Linked DNA regions of Drosophila melanogaster. The protein of the gene in region 2 interacts with the protein of the main gene of each other region in a pairwise test. Each region holds a gene or a part of one and is shown on either strand. Other genes may lie near its edges. The genes, in order: Rrp4, Sap47, Cyt-c-p and Mitofilin.

Region 1 (3,517 bases), on a different chromosome or scaffold from region 2:
AGTGCGTACAGATTACAAATGAGAGGAAAACAATCGCTTGGCGTCGCTTAGAGATGTGCACTATGCAGATATCGATGTTTCTGTGTGAATTTTGCTAGCGAAACTTTTTGTTTTTATTTTACACAATCAAGTATTTGTCACAAATACAACGTCACACTAATATGGGATGACATAAAAATAAAAAATTTATGCCGAGTCCCTTTATCATCCAGGCAGAATCACTTTTCATTTGCACAAACCGCCAGGGCGTTGCCGGATCGCTAATGTGTGCTGCCACTCGGTGCGCGTCCTGGTAAAATATCGATATTTTAGCTGCTTTTTAACTAAAAGTAATTTTAAGTCGAAACTTTTAACTAAAACTAAAGTGCTATGAAAATGTATGTATTTTTTAAACGCCAATAAAACCTAACTTATATGCAATAAATGTTTTCTTTTTTAAAGAGTTTGTGTATTTTAGAAAACCTGACTTTTTATTAGGAAACCAACATTTATCATACAAATTCAGGAAATATCAAATGAACATTTTTATTAAACAGAAAGCTTGCGATAGTTTTCAGTGTATTTAAGATTTTAGCCCACTGATGCAATTTTGAAATCCACCAATTTCGAACCCATTGAAATGTTAATTTTTCATTTGACGGTAGAAAATACATTAACCTCTATTTAAGCTACTTGTGTATAAAATATATGTATATGCATATATACTACTCGTCCGCGTCCCTCAGACGAGCCTGCGTCTGCTGGCCGATGTCGTAGATGGCGTTCTGCTGGAGCAGCTCGTGGGCCTCGTAGCGCAGGGACTCCTCGTAGGCGTACTGGATGCTGGTGTCGTAAATCATCAGCTTGCACTTGGCCAGCGCGAGGATGGAGTTCCTCAGCCGGGCGATCACCTCCCGATCCGCGCGCGGCACATGCTCGTTCAGGTTCTGAGCGAATCCTCCCTCGCCGCCTTCCTCCTCCTGGCCCTTGGTCGGCGATATCCAGATGTAGCCATTGTTGCCCAGGATCACGGAGGCGCCGCAGGGCAGGTTGTGGAAGTGCATCTTGCGGCGCTTGACGAGAGCGGGGAACACCTTGACCAGGATGCCCTGCGATAGTTTTCCATACTTCAAACTGCGCGTGTACAGCGAAAGGGAGCCCTCCTCAAAGATGTTCTGGTGGCCAGAGAAGAAAGATTATATAGTTACTCCAGTACCAGCAAGTTAGGAAGTACCCACCTGGACCTCGGCAGAGATGAGATCGCCCTCGTCCAAGTATCGTCGCATCATCTGCTCGTCCTCCGCCGATCTCCGTCGTAGTTCTCCGCCTGGCAGATTCACCGAGGAGAGCAGTAGGATGGAGTCGAGCCGGGAATTGGTGTCCACTCGCCAGCGCTTCTGTTGCACCTCGCTGACGCGGGCCACCACCACGTCCCCGATCTCGCCCACATAGCGACTCTTAAGCGGGCGCACCGAGATCAGCTTGTTGACCTTCTGGATCACCCCGGCCACCGAGGACTTGATGTTCTCGTCCTCGACGAAGGTTCCGTGGCCGCGCATGAATCCCGCCTCCGGCATCAGCACTTCCCCCGGCGTATACACCCTCGGCTGTTCCTCCGTCTGCGCGGCCAGGTCGCGCCAGTCCACCCGGTCCAGGGCCAGATCTATCGCCGCGTTGGTGGACATCTCAGTTTGGCCAAAGCGAGGTAAACAAAAATTTAATTTTGAGCGAGGCAAAAAGAGCAACAGCTGGCAAAACACGCGCCACGCGGAACCGGTTCGGGTTCGGGGTTCGTTGCTGGTTCCGGTTCAAGTTCCATTTCTTCGCCGCAACTACAGTGCCTATCGGTTGCGGCGAATTGCAATTTTAAAAACCAATTTTGTTGAAATTCGAAAGTAAATGTAACGAAGACTTGCAAATTCTATTGCCTAACAAAAAATACATACAATCGAAATAAAATAAAAGTAAAGGGGATTAAAAAAAACTGTTAAAATCACGTTTTTAGTTTCCTTAGTTTTATGAAATAACATTTATTGTTAATGTGTATAATATATATGTCGAAAGCATTTTTGAGTTTGTCCTTAGATAAGCAGCATACAAATTATAATTTTAAAGAACAGCTTTGAAATAATTGCTCTGGCATTTCAATGATAAGTTATCTGTCTTCTTTAAGTTAGCTAAGCTCCATTAGACTTCTGAAACATTCATCATCTTGTTTCAGTTGGATTGCCTCAGAGCTCGCAGGCACATTCCCATCCGGAATAATATTTTCTAGAATAAGACTAAAAACTTGAAGTAGAAAATGCATCGGCTTCTGTTCCTAATTTTTTTGGCTCTCAAATACCAGAGCAATGCAATGAACTTTTCGCCATTGCCGAATCGAGTGATAGATGCTCCAAAGCACCTAAAAACCCGAATGATCCAAGTGCGAAGCTCCTACTTTGGATACTCGCTCGTCATCCGTCCAACCAGGTGAGATCTTATCCTAGGGAAGCTATCGATCCCAGACTGTGATTGCACTTGAAATTCCATGAAGTTCCTTCTAACAAAAAACTTCGTGATCAATGCAGCATCTTCGTGGGAGCTCCGCGTGCTCAGTCCACCTTGGAATCGCAAGGCAGCATTAATGAGACTGGAGCTGTCTACAGATGCCCCCTGGCCAGTGGATCCTGCTCGCATTACGTCCTAAACGACAAGCTAAATAAGCAATTCCAGTGGCTGGGCGGCTCTATGGATGGCGGCACCAAGGATACGGACAAGCTGCTCGTGTGCGCACCTCGGTTTTTCGTGCCGAAGAACAAGAACTATGGCCAAATGAGAGGAATTTGCTACTGGGTTCGGGACACAGTGGCAGACACTCCTCCGCTGAGCGACGTGAGGACTATCAGTCTAATCCCTTCGCAAGCAGAAGAACATTTCATGCTGGAGCTGGGGCTCAGTGCCCATGTGACGGACGACAACTCGGGGTTCCTGATCGGCGCCCCGGGAGTCCGTAGCTGGAAGGGATCGGTGTTAGTGCACCGCGGAGAAGATTTGGCTGCCCAGGGAAGCTATGCAGTCAAGATGCTCGATTCGTGGGATTGGGTAAAGAATCACTTCACATACGTCGGTTACGCCCTGAGCTCCGGATACTTTAGCAGCAATAACCGGACCAGTCTGCTCTACGTGACCACCGCGCCGAGCTCTGTCCTGAATACCGGCAAGGCATACATTTTCGACGTTGTGGGAGAGATAGTCCGTAAGCTGCATGTGTTTCACGGCGAGCAGTTGGGCGAGTACTTCGGTTACTCCGTGGTGGCGGAAGATCTCAATGGCGATGGACTAACGGATGTGGTCGTATCCGCGCCACTCAACGCTCTAGGGGATTCCTATGACGTGGGTGCCATATACGTGTTCATCAACAAGGGATTGGTGAGTTAACCGAATTCCCTATAATCGCCATTAGTCAGACTGCTTCTATTTCCCGCTTCAGTTTAAATTCGAGAAAAAGATAATTCGCTTGCCATTGAGCAGTGGTGCCCGTTTCGGAAGTTCGCTT
Region 2 (4,879 bases):
GTTCTTTTTCTGATGCGGAACTGAGTACTTGATGAACTGGCGTTCGTTGCCCTTCGGTGGTTCAGGAGTCTCCTTGCACGGCTTGGGCACCAACCGCTCCGACACCTCCATCAGTCGCACCTGCTCATCCAAACTGCTCAAGGGCAGCTTTCGCATTATGCGGCGCAGCTGCTTGCGCTTTTTGGGCGTGAGCAGGTGGTGGTGCTTCTGAAAGCGCTCCACTCCGCGGTGCAAGTTCTCCATCATCTTTACCCAAACGTCCATGCTCCTGCTCTCCGCCTCGATTTCATTCTGGAGTCGTACGCGCTTTGAGCGAAAATGCCGTATTTGTCGTTGTAGCGACTTCGTCTGATTCTGATCATTCAAATGCTCGCGGACCAGACGGTCGTAGTCCTTTTTCCAGTTCGGTTCCTGAATCATTGGCTTAACTAGGGAATTTCGAATTTTTAAAAACGATAACTGACAAATGCTATCGATGACAAAGTAGTCGTGGTAAAAATATTTAAATAATTGGTTTTAAAAATATTTCGATTCTCGATGATATAGCTATTATATATATCGATAGCTAATTATGAAAGCCGTGTACCATCTCCAATCAGCTGTTTCACCTGCTTTTCGCCGCCTGCTCGTTAGTAAATATCTGGAGTAAAAGCTAAAATTTACCTGGTAGCTCAATACAATTATAAATCACATTCGAAATTAAGTGTTAAAAGTTACGTATGCATTTTTTTAGAAGGACGCCTTTTAAATAGTACAATTGGAACACGGAGGGTCACTACGGTGTTGCGTAATTAAAGCGACACGTTTTCTGAGACCCAAAATTAAGCTGTACACATAGAATGCCGGTGTTTTGACGTACGAATCCAAGGAATACAAGAAACCGTCATGGCCAAGTATATCGCCCAGATCATCGTGTTGGGCGCCCAGGCAGTGGGAAGAGCCTTTACCAAGGCGCTGCGCCAGGAGATCGCCGCATCTCAGGAAGCAGCACGACGGGCGGGTGGTGGCAAGCAGGGCGACAAGAGCGCCGAGTCCAACCTGCGCACAGGTGAGTCTTGGACACAGTCATGCTATCTATTTCACTATTTACACCTACTTATCAATGCAGGCATGACGCTGGAGGAAGCCAAGCAGATCCTGAATATAGATGACCCCAAAAACGTGGACGCTATCACCAAGAACTACGAGCATCTGTTTCAAGTCAACGAACGCTCCAAAGGCGGCTCCTTCTATATCCAGTCAAAGGTTTTCCGGGCGAAAGAGCGGCTGGACCATGAGATTAAGGCCCATGAGCAGCCGAGGTCGTCAAATACGGAAGCAGCGCAAGATACGGCGGAGGAGTCTCAGAGCAGATCGCGGCAGCGACGCTGAGTATCCTTGTTGTCCCAATCGAACTAATTAGCTGATAATTGATTTAAAAACTACGTGTTAAGTACAAAAAATGAAAGTCTGTTGCTGTAAATAGAGATTTACGAACATGAAGACAAGTGTAAACACTTTCTGAGAAGAGCTCGACTTTCCAGGAACACAAATGTAATGGAATTCTTGTAAACTAACACGGATTAGCTCAGGCGGTTAGGTATAAATATTTTACTCTCAGGCCAGGTAACTAGAATCGGATCGATTTTAAGATCACGCTTCTTGGGGTTTGAAAATAAAAATATTTTAAGTATCAACAAAGTTCCATGTCTTGATCTAGCTATAGCTAAAATTATGCTGATGTAAATAAACTAATGCTGCAATGGGCTTCCAAACTTTCGCAATAGGAACTTGGAAATTTTAAAATCAGCTGTTGCAGAAGCCAGAGATGCGCGAACATATCGGTAGAGCTATCGACCGACAGCAGTCAGCTGTTCGATGGGCAGCACTGGCCGAGAACAAACCGAAAATAATCATTACTGGTGCGCAGTTGTTGTTTCCATAGACGTGTCAATTGTTTGTCTAATTGCGCCAGCAGCAGCAAAACGACGCCAAAGCACACATGCGCATTCCAGCGCACAAATATCCCACCCACGAAAATCGCAATACCATCGCCCCAGCAACGCGGAGGAGGGGGTGGACTCCACTTTTCCAGGGAGAAAGCGAACGTACGCATACGAGAATCCGAATCTGAGAATCCCCAATCCCCGAGTCCAAGAGAGCGAAGACGACACTCCAGCTCGGTATTTGAGACATCGACATTCCGCTGCTCCGTCAGTTTTCAGAGGACCTTCGAAGTGGGCAGCCGAAAATCCAAAAGTCTCCTGGCAGCGAACGGAAAACCAAAGAGAAAAAAAATAAGAAAAGCAAAATCCAGTTGGCAGAGAAAAGCTCAAGTGGTAATTGGCTGCGACTCAAATTACTTTAGTTGTGCAAATAGCGAATAGCTATAAACCCAAAAAGAAAAGAAACTCGAGCGTGGCGTGTGTCCATGTGGAAAATCGATCGAATCGCAGAGTATTTATCGTGTAATTGTGCCCAATAGCCACGCAATTCCCAGTCCGTTTTATTGATTTTCCCCACCGCCTCGCCAAGTAGCAATAAAAACCATTCTTTTACCTTCCATCTCGGCCATCTGGACAAAGCAATTGCAGCGTGAAAAATTCAAATTTCAAGTTAAATGCGAGAATTTACATAACGCCGAGCGTTGAAAGTGAAACTTCTGTGGTGCGAACGAAACACTGAAAGAAAGGAAAACCCATTACAGGACATTCTATCTGCCTCTGCCCAGTGTAGTAAAAGTTGGAGAGCCAGGAGCGGGAGAGCAGTGGAAAACCGTGAGAACCGCGAGAACAAGAGAGCCTAGAGAGCGTTGAACGTGCGCACGTCTTCCTGGTCAGGACACACCACCAATCCTTGAGAGAAACAGCAGGAGCCAACATGTTTTCGGGCCTAACAAATCAATTCACCTCGCTGGTGGGCGCCGTTAAAGGAGGCGCTGGCGACGAGGATGTGCCCGCGCCCACAGGAGATGCGCCCGCAGCCGCTCCAGCAGCATCCACATCCGTGGAGGCCACGGCCTCCTCCGCCGTGGACCCGGAGGCAGCTGCCGCAGCCGGTGGCGAAGGACTCGAGGGCGAGGAAGCTGGCAAAAGGTAAGTGTGAATCGAACAATGCGCGCTGGGTAATCCTTCGGCCCATCTTTCTAGTCTTCCGTGACTGTGACTCCGAAATCCAGACTTCAGTCGACCTGACATGGCGTGCCAATGTGACCTTGCTATTTGTACCTTTTAACATTTCGCTCCGTGGAGTTCCTACCCTCCAGCAATCGCTCCTTTACGGTACATTCATCATTGTTTTGACACACTCCGCTTATCCTGCATTTTACGTTGCATTCCGCACGCTCTCACGTGACTGAACATAATTGCTTAAACTGGAATCCAAATGCCCGATAATTTCACTCCCATATATATCCTATATGGCTCCGCTTCCTTGCGAAGCTAGTCGACTGACTTTCCTGAACATTTCTGGCTAGCAATTTCGATTTGAAAATGCCAGGCCAATTTGTGGTTTAAATGGATTTCGTTTGATTATTCTTGAAATGGCAAATCGCATTGTGAAGACTGTATTTCTTTTTAATTGTTGAAATATTTGAATCGTTATAGAATATAGCATAAATCAGTCTTCAAAAGAGTCTCTCAGCTTGGCATATATGTATTACTTAGTATGGTAGACTGTCAGTAGTGTAATTCTCCAAGCGAATTTATTTGCCCTAATTTTGTTGACCAAAGGAAATTCCTTGAACTGTCAGCAAACGGAAAAGAGCAACTCCATGCTTACTAACTTCCGACTGGTTTCTTTTCTTTTACTTCCCTCAAACTGAGTGGATAGGACTGCCCTATTTCTTTTCGACCTCGCCGTATCATTTGACCTCGTCCTTCGCGCTTCTTCTGGGTACTTCATCAATCTCTAGCAGGCATTCCACACCCTAGTTATGTTGAGTTTGCTTTATCCCACAAGAGTGTTACTGCCGTTTCAGCCTTCATTTCCTCGAAATAAATGAAAGTAAATTCCAATTATTCGGCTGATATTTTGGACAAGTTAAGACCGCTGTGATGGCCCGTTAATGCCACAAGTTGCTGGCTAATCCGGAAGATCAGCCAAAGTCAACTAACGTTGTTTTTCACTTAATTCAGCTCATTAATATTTAATTGTGCGAGTGTGCGCTGGATGCCAGGATGTCAATCCGGGGCACGTTTTTCCAACCAGCTGCCAACAGCTGGTGTCGTCGTGGTCGTCGTCGTCGTTGTTGTCTTTGAAACCCAAGTCCGTGATGTGTCACGCCTTTTCAACGGGCCGCCGTTCTCCTTCTGCCCCGCAAGTCCTTTCACTATCAATTGACATTGACGAGTTGGACCACCTTCGTGTTGTTCTTTGTATCTCGTCTTTATTTTACTCTTTTTGTTTTCTGTACGTTCCAATGAAAATAATTTGCACGTGGCTCCTGCATAACCACAAAATGTTGAGTCATTCGAGCTGGCGGCGCCCTCGTCCGCTTTCACCACTCGTACACTCTGGTTTTTTGACCATCTTGCTGTGTGCGAAATACTGTCACCAATGCCGATGGGTAGAGGTGGAGCATTCGGAAGGGGGCTGGCTCGGAGGCAGGATGTGTTCCTTTTGGTGGTTGCTTTCCAGTTTCCAGTTGACTTTTGCTCGTTTTGCGGATCGATACGAGAGAGCCGTGCGAAAGGACGCTCTATGCTTCTCTCTGCGAAATGTGCACATGTGATGAGGCCACAACGAGTAGAAACGACGATGGCGCCCGCTCTAGAGGATTTGCTACTCCACGACCCGACCCGCCCCCTTGTTGTCCTTTTGTCAGCCTATTTAATAATTGTGCATTCAGAAAACGTGTGTGCTGGCTTGTTGCCTGTCTTTACGCCTGTGCCTGTGCCCC
Region 3 (4,937 bases), on a different chromosome or scaffold from region 2:
ATTTACATACGTACGTAATATAAATATATAAATAATATCATTCTCTGAAAAATATCATAATGCACTCTTGTAAATTTAAAACAAATTTAATTTTAAGATAATTGGTTGAGATAAACATAGTTAATATTTTCAATTGATCCTTTAAATTTTAAATTGCAGGTGAATATCATCCCTGTGTGACCGTTGTATGCGGCATGGTTCCATGTCTCTTTCCCGTTATTCATTTCCCTCTGCTTTGTTTTTTTTTTTTTTGGTTTTGTTATGCGGTGGCATCTGTTTTTGCCACAGGAAAATGGTTGAGAGAGGGGAAGGCAGGGGGCGAAAGCGGAGAGTGCGTAAAATGCGTTTTAATTGAAAGGAAATGTTCAAAGCACATGTGCATCTGCTAGTCAACGAATTGGTTGGGAAAGGGGGTGGCAAGCCGAATGTGTCTGCTAATTGAATTACCTTTCGGTTGCTTTTCCCATTAGAAGTGCCGACAAGTTCTCGAGCTGCTTGTTTGCTTTTCATTTAATACCCATTTTGATTTAATTTTCGTTTTTCCTATTTTTCTGACCCAATTTTGTTTTGCTTTCGTGCATTAGCAGCTGTCTCTGTCTATCGCTGTGCAGCCAAGAGAGTGACCAAGAGAAACGCTCTCTCTCTCTCTCTCAGTTGTCCAGGACTTGCACTTTTCAAACGGTTTTTTAGGACACTGAAACAAATTGAATCTGTTTTTCTTTTCTATCAAATTTTTAGTTCTACACTTTTCTTTTTCATGATAGTTTCGGAATCAACCAATTTCTATTTGATCCAAATTAACAAAAAACAAATAACAAAAAATTAAAAAATATAGAAATAAAAGCTGCATAAAAAGTTGAATTCTAAATCATAAATATCATTTTTCCCTATTTGTCTTTCAGGCTTCCAAGATGGGTTCTGGTGATGCAGAGAACGGCAAGAAGATATTTGTGCAGAAGTGCGCCCAGTGCCACACCTACGAAGTGGGCGGCAAACACAAGGTGGGCCCAAATCTTGGCGGGGTCGTGGGTCGCAAGTGTGGCACAGCAGCGGGATACAAGTATACCGATGCCAATATAAAGAAGGGCGTTACCTGGACAGAGGGGAATTTGGACGAGTACCTCAAGGACCCGAAGAAATACATTCCCGGAACAAAGATGGTGTTCGCAGGTCTTAAAAAGGCTGAGGAGCGGGCCGATTTGATTGCCTTCCTCAAGTCAAACAAGTAGAATCGCCTGCGAAACAACAAGATCGGCCACCATGCTATCCAGAAAACTGCGCTTAAAGACTACAAACATATTCAAAAGATGACGTATTTCACTTGGATTTCGAAACTTTGATTGGGAATGGTCGAGCTCAAATACATTTCAAAAAGGTTTACTTTCACTTTAGCCAATTAAAGTTGATAAACCAAAAACCCTCTTCTTAATTCAAGTTGTGTGCGACGCGGGTGGAGGAAAGTGTTGTACCAATCAGCTTTGGTCACAGTTGGTTTTATGGTCCTACTAGCAAAATGTAATAAATTGGAGAAGCTTGTTAAATAATGCAAATTTTCCAGAGGCTTTCCAATATAGTCCCGTTAATAGGGGAAAAAATTACTTATACGCCGTGTGGTGGATAAATACGGGTACAAAAGCTTGCGACATTTTTTAATGCGTGGCCCCCGGTCACTCTGGTCACACTAATTACCTATCGACATAACGCGCGCTCGTCATTCGTGAAAAATCGGCGACGCTCGACGTTTGTGTTCAATGTAAGTAGTGGGTGGAATTTTTGTATTTTCAAGTGACGTAAATATTACCTTGAATAGTTATTGATTATCAAGCCCCAAGTCAGATAAAGATTAGAAACACTTCCGTGTCATTTACGTAACATCCAGCAGCTGTGTTTTGTTCTGAAAATGATTCGCATGCAAATTTAACGTATTCTTTGGGGGATGATTCAGGTTACATAAACGTGTCCTTGTGTGTGTGTGTATAAGTGTGATTTTTTATTAGATATTTAATAGTTTATTTAGCAAATATTAGCAGTGGTGTATTAATAGTAAAAATAGCATCCCAAAGTCACATTGCCATTGAAAAAAGCCCCGGAGAGAGTCGATTACATGAGCAAAGAGAGTGGCGTACCCGATCATCAGCTGTCTCGCTCGCTCAGTGGCAAAAATTAATTCTTGGATTTTTTGTCAATGCTTCAGCTTTGGAGTCTTTAAGCGCGCCACGTGGTTGCTAAGCAGGTTTTGCTTTCTGCGATGTGCAGTTTTCTATAATATAAATAAAAGAGAATTCACCTCTGCGAAAAGGCGGCTTATGTAACATTCGCTGCTCTCAGGAAACTTGGATGTTGGCCCAATTTTCACTCATCTCTTTGTTCTCACCACCTTGCTCACCCACACAAGGAAAAACACAGCTGCCTTTGGCCTGCTTCCAATTTTCCAATTGCACTTTCCCTTCATCTCACGCACACTCACGCACGGCAATTAACTGAAAAATACTCAACAAGGCCAAATCGGATGTTGACATTGTTGTTGCTTTGCCACCTCTCACTGCCAAAGTGCATGATACTCTACACAGAAAGAAGTGAAAAAAAGGTTGATATTAAATGCAAATTATGTGTAAAAGCGCACAAAATCAATAGTCTATATATATTAGGTTTGTTTTTATAGACAAATGCATATAAAATAAAATTAGTTTTCTAGAATTGAAAGAGCTTCAGCTAATCGAATTTCTCTCAGTCTATGTGCGTGATGTGTAGGTGAATTACTCACCGCAACGGTACTTTGCACTCTCAAGTTCAAATTGCTGCATGCAATTTATAATCCGGCAATTAGCAGGATGACCGTAACACAGACCCTGGAATAATAGAATAGTTATGTAAACAACTAACGTTTTTCGTATTATGATGCTTCCTGGAAGTTTTCCGCCTGTTGCTGAGCAGTTCTGACGCAATTAATCGGCGACTGGCAAATATAAGCGAGTGAGACACAAAGAGAGTGTGAGAAGGAGAGAAAGAGTGTGGGGGCAACATGTGACCAGCGTCTGAAGCTTTTTCAAAGTGTGTTTCTGATGACGTTGCGACGCCCTCCACGCGCGTATTAGTGAGAGCAAAGTATGTGGGTTAAAAAGGGGGTGGCCGCAAATGGAAATGCAGACTACGTTAGATAATAATTTCGGGCCTTATCAGAAACAACAGCCGACTAATGCACTTAGCATGAGCAATTTTAATAATTCCGTTTCCGCAGGGAGCTTATCAATTGTTTACATAACGGGGCAAGGGGACAAATATTAATTCACGGTCCATAACTACCTACATTAACCCATTATTTCCCAAGCATGGAAATTTTTGATGATATAAAGACGTTATTATTTTAATACCTTAAAAATATATAATATTATATAAGTAACGTTGGGAAATCAACTGGTTAATAAATTTTAAATTTCGGGTTTATTTATTCAATAATCTTTTGATAATGTATGGCTGAAAGTGAAGCTTTTATCAGTATCTACACAATGGTTCATTGGGGCTAATAATAAATGGTATCAAATATCGTATAACTATTTTTTGCAGTGAAACCAGAATTTCGGACTAAGTACATAAGCAAATGATATAAAATATATATTGTAATCAATTTATCAGAATAGAACAAATTAATTGGTAGCAGTTATGAACTTTGAACCATTTAGTAGCCAGTTTTTTAAGTTTTTCAAACCTAAGATGTAAGATAACAGATATATTGGTTACCCTTGTTTTATGAACCACTCATTAATAACAAACATTTCTTTTTACAGTCGAGTCCGTGTTAACACATTAATTAACCACATAATCCATAATGGGCGTTCCTGCTGGTGATGTTGAGAAGGGAAAGAAGCTGTTCGTGCAGCGCTGCGCCCAGTGCCACACCGTTGAGGCTGGTGGCAAGCACAAGGTTGGACCCAATCTGCATGGTCTGATCGGTCGCAAGACCGGACAGGCGGCCGGATTCGCGTACACGGACGCCAACAAGGCCAAGGGCATCACCTGGAACGAGGACACCCTGTTCGAGTACCTGGAGAACCCCAAGAAGTACATCCCCGGCACCAAGATGATCTTCGCCGGTCTGAAGAAGCCCAACGAGCGCGGCGATCTGATCGCCTACCTGAAGTCGGCGACCAAGTAATGGTGCTGTCCATCAACTTACCCACAACCACTGCAGGATGTCAAACTGTATTATTGTGTTCAGTCACAGTCCGGCACGCAAATGCAGCAGCAGCAACAACTACAACTACAAATCAACATAGTACAGACCTAAAGAACTACAATTATGTTAATTATAAAGTTTAAATAGGACAATTTATTATTTAATTTAAATAAAAAGTGGAATATTTAATTCAAACCCGATGAGAATTGTGACATCCACAAAAAAGTTAAATAATAAAAAAAGAACTAAAAAATGATATAAAATCTGTTTTATGCGAGGACCTGGTTTTTGTAGCTCGCAGGTCAAAAAGAATAAAAAAAGCTTCTTCAGATTTTTGACTCGGGCAACTCAAATTAAAAATAAGAGATACCAATCATATTTATAAAACAATTGTCCTGGCAATTTCTATCAATAGGTATCTGTTAGTCGTCAAACTCGACTGCAGCATACTCTTTGCGTCTGTCAAAAATGTTGTTGGCTGATCTATATAGGCCTTACTCATCTGAGTCGCACAAAGATGACCACAAATCATCCTGGGTTGCTGCAAATTCCTTAGTTCATTGCGTGGAGGTAGACATCACTAAAAACATCCAACAAAGAAAGAGTCGATACGTTACGCAGAAACATCACAATAAGATTGTATTACTGAGAGAGAAAGTAGAAAACTATTAGGGTCGAAATGCTCTCTTAATGCACATTCTATTTGGCCAATCGTTAAACAAGAATACACTGGTATTTTTATATTTTTTGGCTAATTTATGTA
Region 4 (5,869 bases), 6.1 Mb from region 2:
TTGCAGGTCTGAACTACCAGGACCACTGCGATGAGCAGAACAAGCCGACCCCCAAGGAACCATTGTTCTTTAGCAAGTTTAACAATGCCCTGGTGGGTCCTCAAGATAATGTCATCGCTCATGCGGCCAGCAGCGTAAGTGAAGCAAGAGATAACAAGAGATAGGCTCATCGAGATAACCAACCGACCAAAAAAAAATTCCACAGAAAATCGATTGGGAGGTTGAGCTGGTCTGTGTCATTGGCAAGGTCGCCCGCCAGGTGCCCAAATCGCAGGCCATGGACTATGTCTTCGGGTATTCGGTGGCCCAGGATATCTCCGCCCGCGACTGGCAGAAGGAACGCAACGGTGGTCAGTTCCTTATGGGCAAGTCGATGGACACTTTTCTGCCGCTGGGACCGGCTGTGGTGCACAAGAGTCTGGTGCCGGATGTTTACAACTTGAATCTGAAAACCTGGGTCAACGGCGTGGAGAAGCAGAACGGCAATACCGGCAACTTGATCTTCAAGCTGGACGATGTGATCAATCGTCTGTCGCAGACCATTACCCTGCTGCCCGGCGACATCATAGTCACCGGAACGCCCAAGGGCGTGGGCATGCATCGCACTCCGCCGGAATTCCTTCAGCCCGGTGATGTCGTGCAGTCGGAGATTGTTGGATTGGGCAAGCTGTGCAACAAGATTGTGGCTCCCTAAGATTGTCAACTCATTTGGCTTGTTGTGTTTGTAAAGTTTGTGTTATTAGTGAAACAATGGCATTTAATAGATGATTTTGTAGTTTTCAATAGATAAACTATAATCAGATATTTTGGTTTTGTTTAATTCAAGTATGTAGTATCTTTGATTAGCCAGGTCACACCTTAAAGGTCTTTGACTGTGTGGCGTAGTACTCGTTGCGGCTGTGATAGGGCTTATAGGGATCGTTGATGAAATGCTTTGGGCGCCGCCAATAGCTGGTGACCATCTTGTCCAGCAGCCAGCTCTGCGTGGCATTGGTGAAGACGTGCTGCTTGAGGCGGCGTCGTAAAGCTGCGGATTTCTTGAAGAGCTTCTTTTGGCGACCGGAATGGGTGCGTATCCAGGCGCCCCAGTCCAGGCGCTTAAAACGTTTCAGTACCGCCTTGACGGTCTTTCGTTTACCCTTCACCAGCGAGAATTTGGTCACGTTGCGTGTGTTTGATGGTGTTCCTGTGGCTGCTAGCACACCCGGCAGCTGCAGGAGCTGGTGATGAGCAGGAGATGCCAGTGATGGCGTGGGCAACAGGCACGGACGGGATAGAGTCATCAAAGTGGCACGTTGTGTCCGCTGGACCAGAGGAACCAACGAAGATGCAGCCGGCGACTGGCGGCAAACGCTTCGCAGCGCTGAAAGTTAAGAACAATTAAAGTAACGTAAACTTGTAAGCCCTATTAGCTGACTTCAACTTACCGCTTGTCACAAAAGTTCTTAGCATTTCACTTAAAACGACAAAGATAAACCTATAATTCCATACAAAACGCAGGTGCTCTTCTTCTTATCGAATCGCGTAACAGTCAGCTGTGTGCCATTCACAGCGAACAAACATAGATTAGCTTGCTATTGGAGATGGGAACCGGTCATCATAAGAACTATCGCAAATGTTTTGGGATTCACCCAAGGAATGGATCAAGTTCAATTTTTCGTTGATAACAATTAAGGCAAAAGGATCCCTTAACCATGTAATCCATTTGTAGAACACTGACAATTCTGACAATTTAAAACTTGTTATAAAAATTGTTGCTTAAACTTATGCGCCCATCTCCAAATCAAATGTATTTTGACTGGCCTATCGAGTACATGCGTATATGTTGCCGACACTTTTTCCATCAAAACACAAACCAAAATTGAGTGATCAAATTCGAGTGGCGCGGGCAAGCGAAACGAAAAGGACGACGAGCAGCACGCAGGACTCGTGTGCGTGTGCGTGGGAGTGTGGGGAATGGAAGAGGAAGCAGCAGCACTGGCCAGCCATTCACCCACCAGCGCTGACGCAGTCGAGCCAGCTTCGAACGAATTGGGCAATATTTAATTCACGCCGCCGGGACTTGAAATTTACGGTAGCCGAAGGAGCAGGAGCACGAGCAGAGCAGGATCACAGCAAAATCAACACCATGTATCGGCTAGCGGTGCGAGATCAGTGCAAGTGCGCCCTGCAGGTGAATTTTTGACCCATTCATTTCTAGCTATTTGATAACGTGAAAATCGATCGTCACGTTGCCCCACACCCCCGCGCGCCCACAAACAAGCGGTTGGCGAAAATACAACAAGAGGCGCTGGTTATGTCATCTACCAAGCCCAGGAATTGGGCGAAAAGCTCCAAAATTCCAGTTGACCAAGGGCGCGGGGGTATCAACGGGCTTGCCAATTTCCTTAAATGTGATGGTCCTAAATGTATTACCTTTCATTGCAACAGCGTACGCTGCAGCAGACGACCGCAAACAACAGGCAATTCGGCGGAAGCAGCAGCGGAAGTGGCGGCCGGGAACAGGGCAGGCGGCAGCAGGAGGAGCAGGGACAGCAAGGCGATCAAGGATATCAAGGATACCAGAGCCTGCCACCGCATATGCGCGAAGCTGGCTTCGGCAAAGTGGTCCTCTTCGTCTCACCACTGGCAGCTGTCGGCGGTGTCATCACCTACGCCAAGTAAATAGAGCCACAATAGAGGTTTAAGATAAGGATAGGCAGTCCACCTGTAGATCAACAAAAATTCGTACACATTTTATTGCACCTGAAATGCTTAAATGAACCATCGAATAATGTAGAAATCCTTTTCCAGATACGACGACGACTTCCGCAAATTGGTGGAGAAGAATGTACCCGGCGCAGGATCCGTCATCAAGGTGGCTCTGCAGGAGGAACCGCCATTCAAGGGCATCACCAAGAACGTCAACGATCAGATCGATAAGGTCAAGTCTGGCATCGAGACAGTGACGTCCACGGTGGACTCCGTTACATCTAAGGTGACGGGCCTGTTTGGCGGCGGCAGCGGCGATGACAAGTCCAAGAAGTCCAAAGTGGAGCCCGTGAAGGCCACTCCTGCTGAGGAAAAGAGACCCTCAAAACCAAGCGAAGTCAGCAAGACTGAAGCGAAGCCAGTGTCGAAGCCAGCAGCAGCAGCAGCGCCTGCGCCCGCTGCCAAGCCTAAGGATAATCCGCTGCCCCGCGATGTTGTTGAGCTGGAGAAAGCCATCGAGCTGTCTGCTCAACTGGCCGTCAAGGAGTACAACGTCGCTATTGGCGTTTTGAAAGGGTGAGCAATTCTCGTTAACTATTCGTTGCGTGATTTTAAATTTAATCAAATATCGTTCAGCTTTAATGACGATGTCCGTAAGGTTGTAGACAAGGCCGTAGAGAATGGAGAGAACTCTCTTTGGACCACGCTGAAAAATCGAGCAAGTGCCCGTGATACGGCAGTGGCTACGGCAGAGCGAGCTGCCCGTGAGGCTCAGGAGAAGATTGGTAAGTCCATTGTTTGTTAAATAGATTCCAAATTTCAGTAACATTCCCTTCTATCAACTGCAGTCGCCTGCGAGATCGCCCTGAGTGCTGCGGCAACGGCCCAAAACGCAAAGAAAGTAGAGGCAGTGCGCGACAAGATCAAGAAGCTTGTGGACCACATTGGCAACGTAAAGGACGAGCTTTACCGGCACAAGGACACGGCCAGCGTGTCAGACAAGTACTGGCGGAATGTGGAGAAGGCGCGAAACTACTTCATTGACGAGATCGAGTCTATCTTCCCCGGCCTCAGTTTGGCGGATAAGAAACTTAATCTGTCAAAGGAGGACCTAGACTTGTTCATCCTGCACGCCTACACCCATGTCCTGGCCTACCAGAAGGAGCTGCAGCGCTTGCAAACCGATGGTGAGCTGCGCCTGAAGAGAGCTATTGACTCGGTTCGCGGTGACAACGATTCGGAGGCTTTGCGCGCCCAACTGGAATACCATTTGGAGGCCGAGCGGCGCAAACTGGCCGTGGAAAATCAAAAGAAAATCTTCCACATCCACGCCGAGTCTGATAAGCTGCTGCGCTTGCAGCTCAAAAAGCAAGCAGAGGCCCACGCCGATCATATAAAGGACATCGTGGCGCAGCGGGAGACCGATCTGACGCGAAGCTTTAAGCGTGAACTTGAGGATAAGCTGGCGACCGAAAAGGCCAACTATAAGTTACAATTGGCCGGGATGCTCGGCAAGCTGCGCGGAATGGACGCGGCTCTGGCAGGTAAGTTATACGTTTTAAACGATATCGGTTGAATGTAGCTAGTGTAGCGTGGCTAGATATATAATGGTTTTCAAACCTTTTCAAAACATGCTGCTATATTAGAGATAGAGGATGAGTTTCAAGGTATATTCACCCTATATGAAGGGTAGTACTTATACCAACTTATTCTTGGTTTAATCAAAATGTTTATTGACATTATATGCAACATTTTTGCAGAGCGTGCGGATGCAGAGCGTACTGCCAATCAGGCGCAGGCCCTTTGGGCCGCCTGCCAAGCTCTGTGGGCCTCCGTGCGCGCTGCCACTCCTGGCGTGCACTATAAGGATAGGTTGCGCCCGTTAAAGAACGAGATCAATGCCATTGCCAAGGTGGCTAGTAAGTTGAAACGTTTCCCACATTTCGATTTCAGTTGCTAAATGCATATGCTTACAGAGGGTGACGACCTGGTGGCCGCTGTGCTGGAAAGCGTCCCGAAGGAGGCTCAGGAGCGCGGTGTCTATCCAGAAGATGCATTGCGCGAGCGTTTCCTGAATGTGGAGCGCGTGGCGCGACGATTGGCTTTGGTGCCCGAGGAAGGAGCCGGCCTGCCCATCTACTTCCTGTCCTATCTGCAATCGCTGTTCATCTTGCGACCCGATAATCCCATATCCAAGGACGAACTCGAGAACAAACCCTTCGACTATAGCAAACTGGACACCTACGATATCCTAAACAGGGCCAGGTGAGGCGATTGATTCATCTATCACTAGAGTTATATAATATATATTATATATATTATGTTTCACAGGTACCATGTGGATCGCAGCGACTTTCTGCAGGCGCTCAAGTACATGAATCTGCTGCAGGGTGCATCGCGCAAGATTGCCGGCGAGTGGATGAAGGAGGCTCGCCTCATGCTGGAGACTCAGCAGGCGGCCAACACCTTGATGGCTCACGCCGCTGCCAGCGGACTATTGTATTTGTAGACTACGTCCCGTGTCCCCTTCCTTCAGAAACAAGATGATACACTTACTATTTGTTATTAGTCCAGGAGAAGATGGTACGATTACCAACAATATGTAATTTGTCCAATTAGCGATCACAGTTGAAACGAAATAGCACTTATATACATATATTTGTAACATTTTGTTTAGCTTCAATTATACAAATTAAACATAGAAACCATCATTATAAAATCCAAAACATAAATACTCTGGGAAGATTTGTAAAAAATTCGATACCAAGGCATGAATGGAATATGATATATTACTAAAGCTGAAATTGGCAAGCTTTGTGTTTCTGAAGAACAATGTGATTAGGCCATAAATAAACATAAAGAACATCCACTTGTTGTTTAATTTAGCGAAAAAAATTAATATAATAAATAAGTTGACTAAAAAGTATGCTGAATGTCAAAATTCAAATAAAATGCATTGGCTAAATTTAATTTCTCTGTTCTGAAAAGAAAGCATGGTAGGCAAGGCAAATGTATTCAAAAACAGGTTACTATGCGGTTGCCGCCAAATTTATTCCTTAAATAATCGTATATGTTCGTTACTAATTTTCGAACGCCAAAATCGCGATAGTTGGTCGTTAGCCAGCACTGGACGCGCCAGTTTCGTGGGCGGCTATCGCCAGCCCTGGTAGTCAGAGGC

The links.
Region 1: the proteins of Sap47 (region 2) and Rrp4 interact in a two-hybrid assay, tested with the Drosophila melanogaster proteins (one large-scale study listed by BioGRID).
Region 3: the proteins of Sap47 (region 2) and Cyt-c-p interact in a two-hybrid assay, tested with the Drosophila melanogaster proteins (one large-scale study listed by BioGRID).
Region 4: the proteins of Sap47 (region 2) and Mitofilin interact in a two-hybrid assay, tested with the Drosophila melanogaster proteins (one large-scale study listed by BioGRID).

Annotation. Positions count from the first base shown.
Region 1 is NT_033778.4:23,554,475-23,557,991, forward strand, and holds Rrp4 (Rrp4), read right to left. Parts: upstream 1,744-3,517; 5' UTR 1,665-1,743; coding exon 1,218-1,664; intron 1,155-1,217; coding exon 705-1,154; 3' UTR 544-704; downstream 1-543. Other genes in the region: ItgaPS5 (integrin alphaPS5 subunit), read left to right, coding at 2,282-2,451, 2,550-3,390, 3,452-3,517.
Region 2 is NT_033777.3:15,933,267-15,938,145, forward strand, and holds the start of Sap47 (Synapse-associated protein 47kD), read left to right. Parts: upstream 1-1,852; 5' UTR 1,853-2,318; exon of another isoform or gene 2,319-2,564; 5' UTR 2,565-2,859; coding exon 2,860-3,074; intron 3,075-4,879. Other genes in the region: CG5478 (uncharacterized protein), read right to left, coding at 1-420; blp (black pearl), read left to right, coding at 886-1,048, 1,109-1,371.
Region 3 is NT_033779.5:16,718,224-16,723,160, forward strand, and holds Cyt-c-p (cytochrome c proximal), read left to right. Parts: upstream 1-1,708; 5' UTR 1,709-1,753; intron 1,754-3,785; 5' UTR 3,786-3,826; coding exon 3,827-4,153; 3' UTR 4,154-4,421; downstream 4,422-4,937. Other genes in the region: Cyt-c-d (cytochrome c distal), read left to right, coding at 912-1,229. UniProt on the Drosophila melanogaster protein: Electron carrier protein. The oxidized form of the cytochrome c heme group can accept an electron from the heme group of the cytochrome c1 subunit of cytochrome reductase.
Region 4 is NT_033777.3:22,019,191-22,025,059, reverse strand, and holds Mitofilin (mitofilin), read left to right. Parts: upstream 1-1,985; 5' UTR 1,986-2,128; coding exon 2,129-2,173; intron 2,174-2,430; coding exon 2,431-2,660; intron 2,661-2,793; coding exon 2,794-3,267; intron 3,268-3,327; coding exon 3,328-3,476; intron 3,477-3,539; coding exon 3,540-4,235; intron 4,236-4,337; coding exon 4,338-4,358; intron 4,359-4,451; coding exon 4,452-4,610; intron 4,611-4,667; coding exon 4,668-4,956; intron 4,957-5,022; coding exon 5,023-5,200; 3' UTR 5,201-5,327; downstream 5,328-5,869. Other genes in the region: CG6028 (uncharacterized protein), read left to right, coding at 7-134, 206-694; mRpL35 (mitochondrial ribosomal protein L35), read right to left, coding at 852-1,363, 1,428-1,452. UniProt on the Drosophila melanogaster protein: Component of the MICOS complex, a large protein complex of the mitochondrial inner membrane that plays crucial roles in the maintenance of crista junctions, inner membrane architecture, and formation of contact sites to the outer membrane.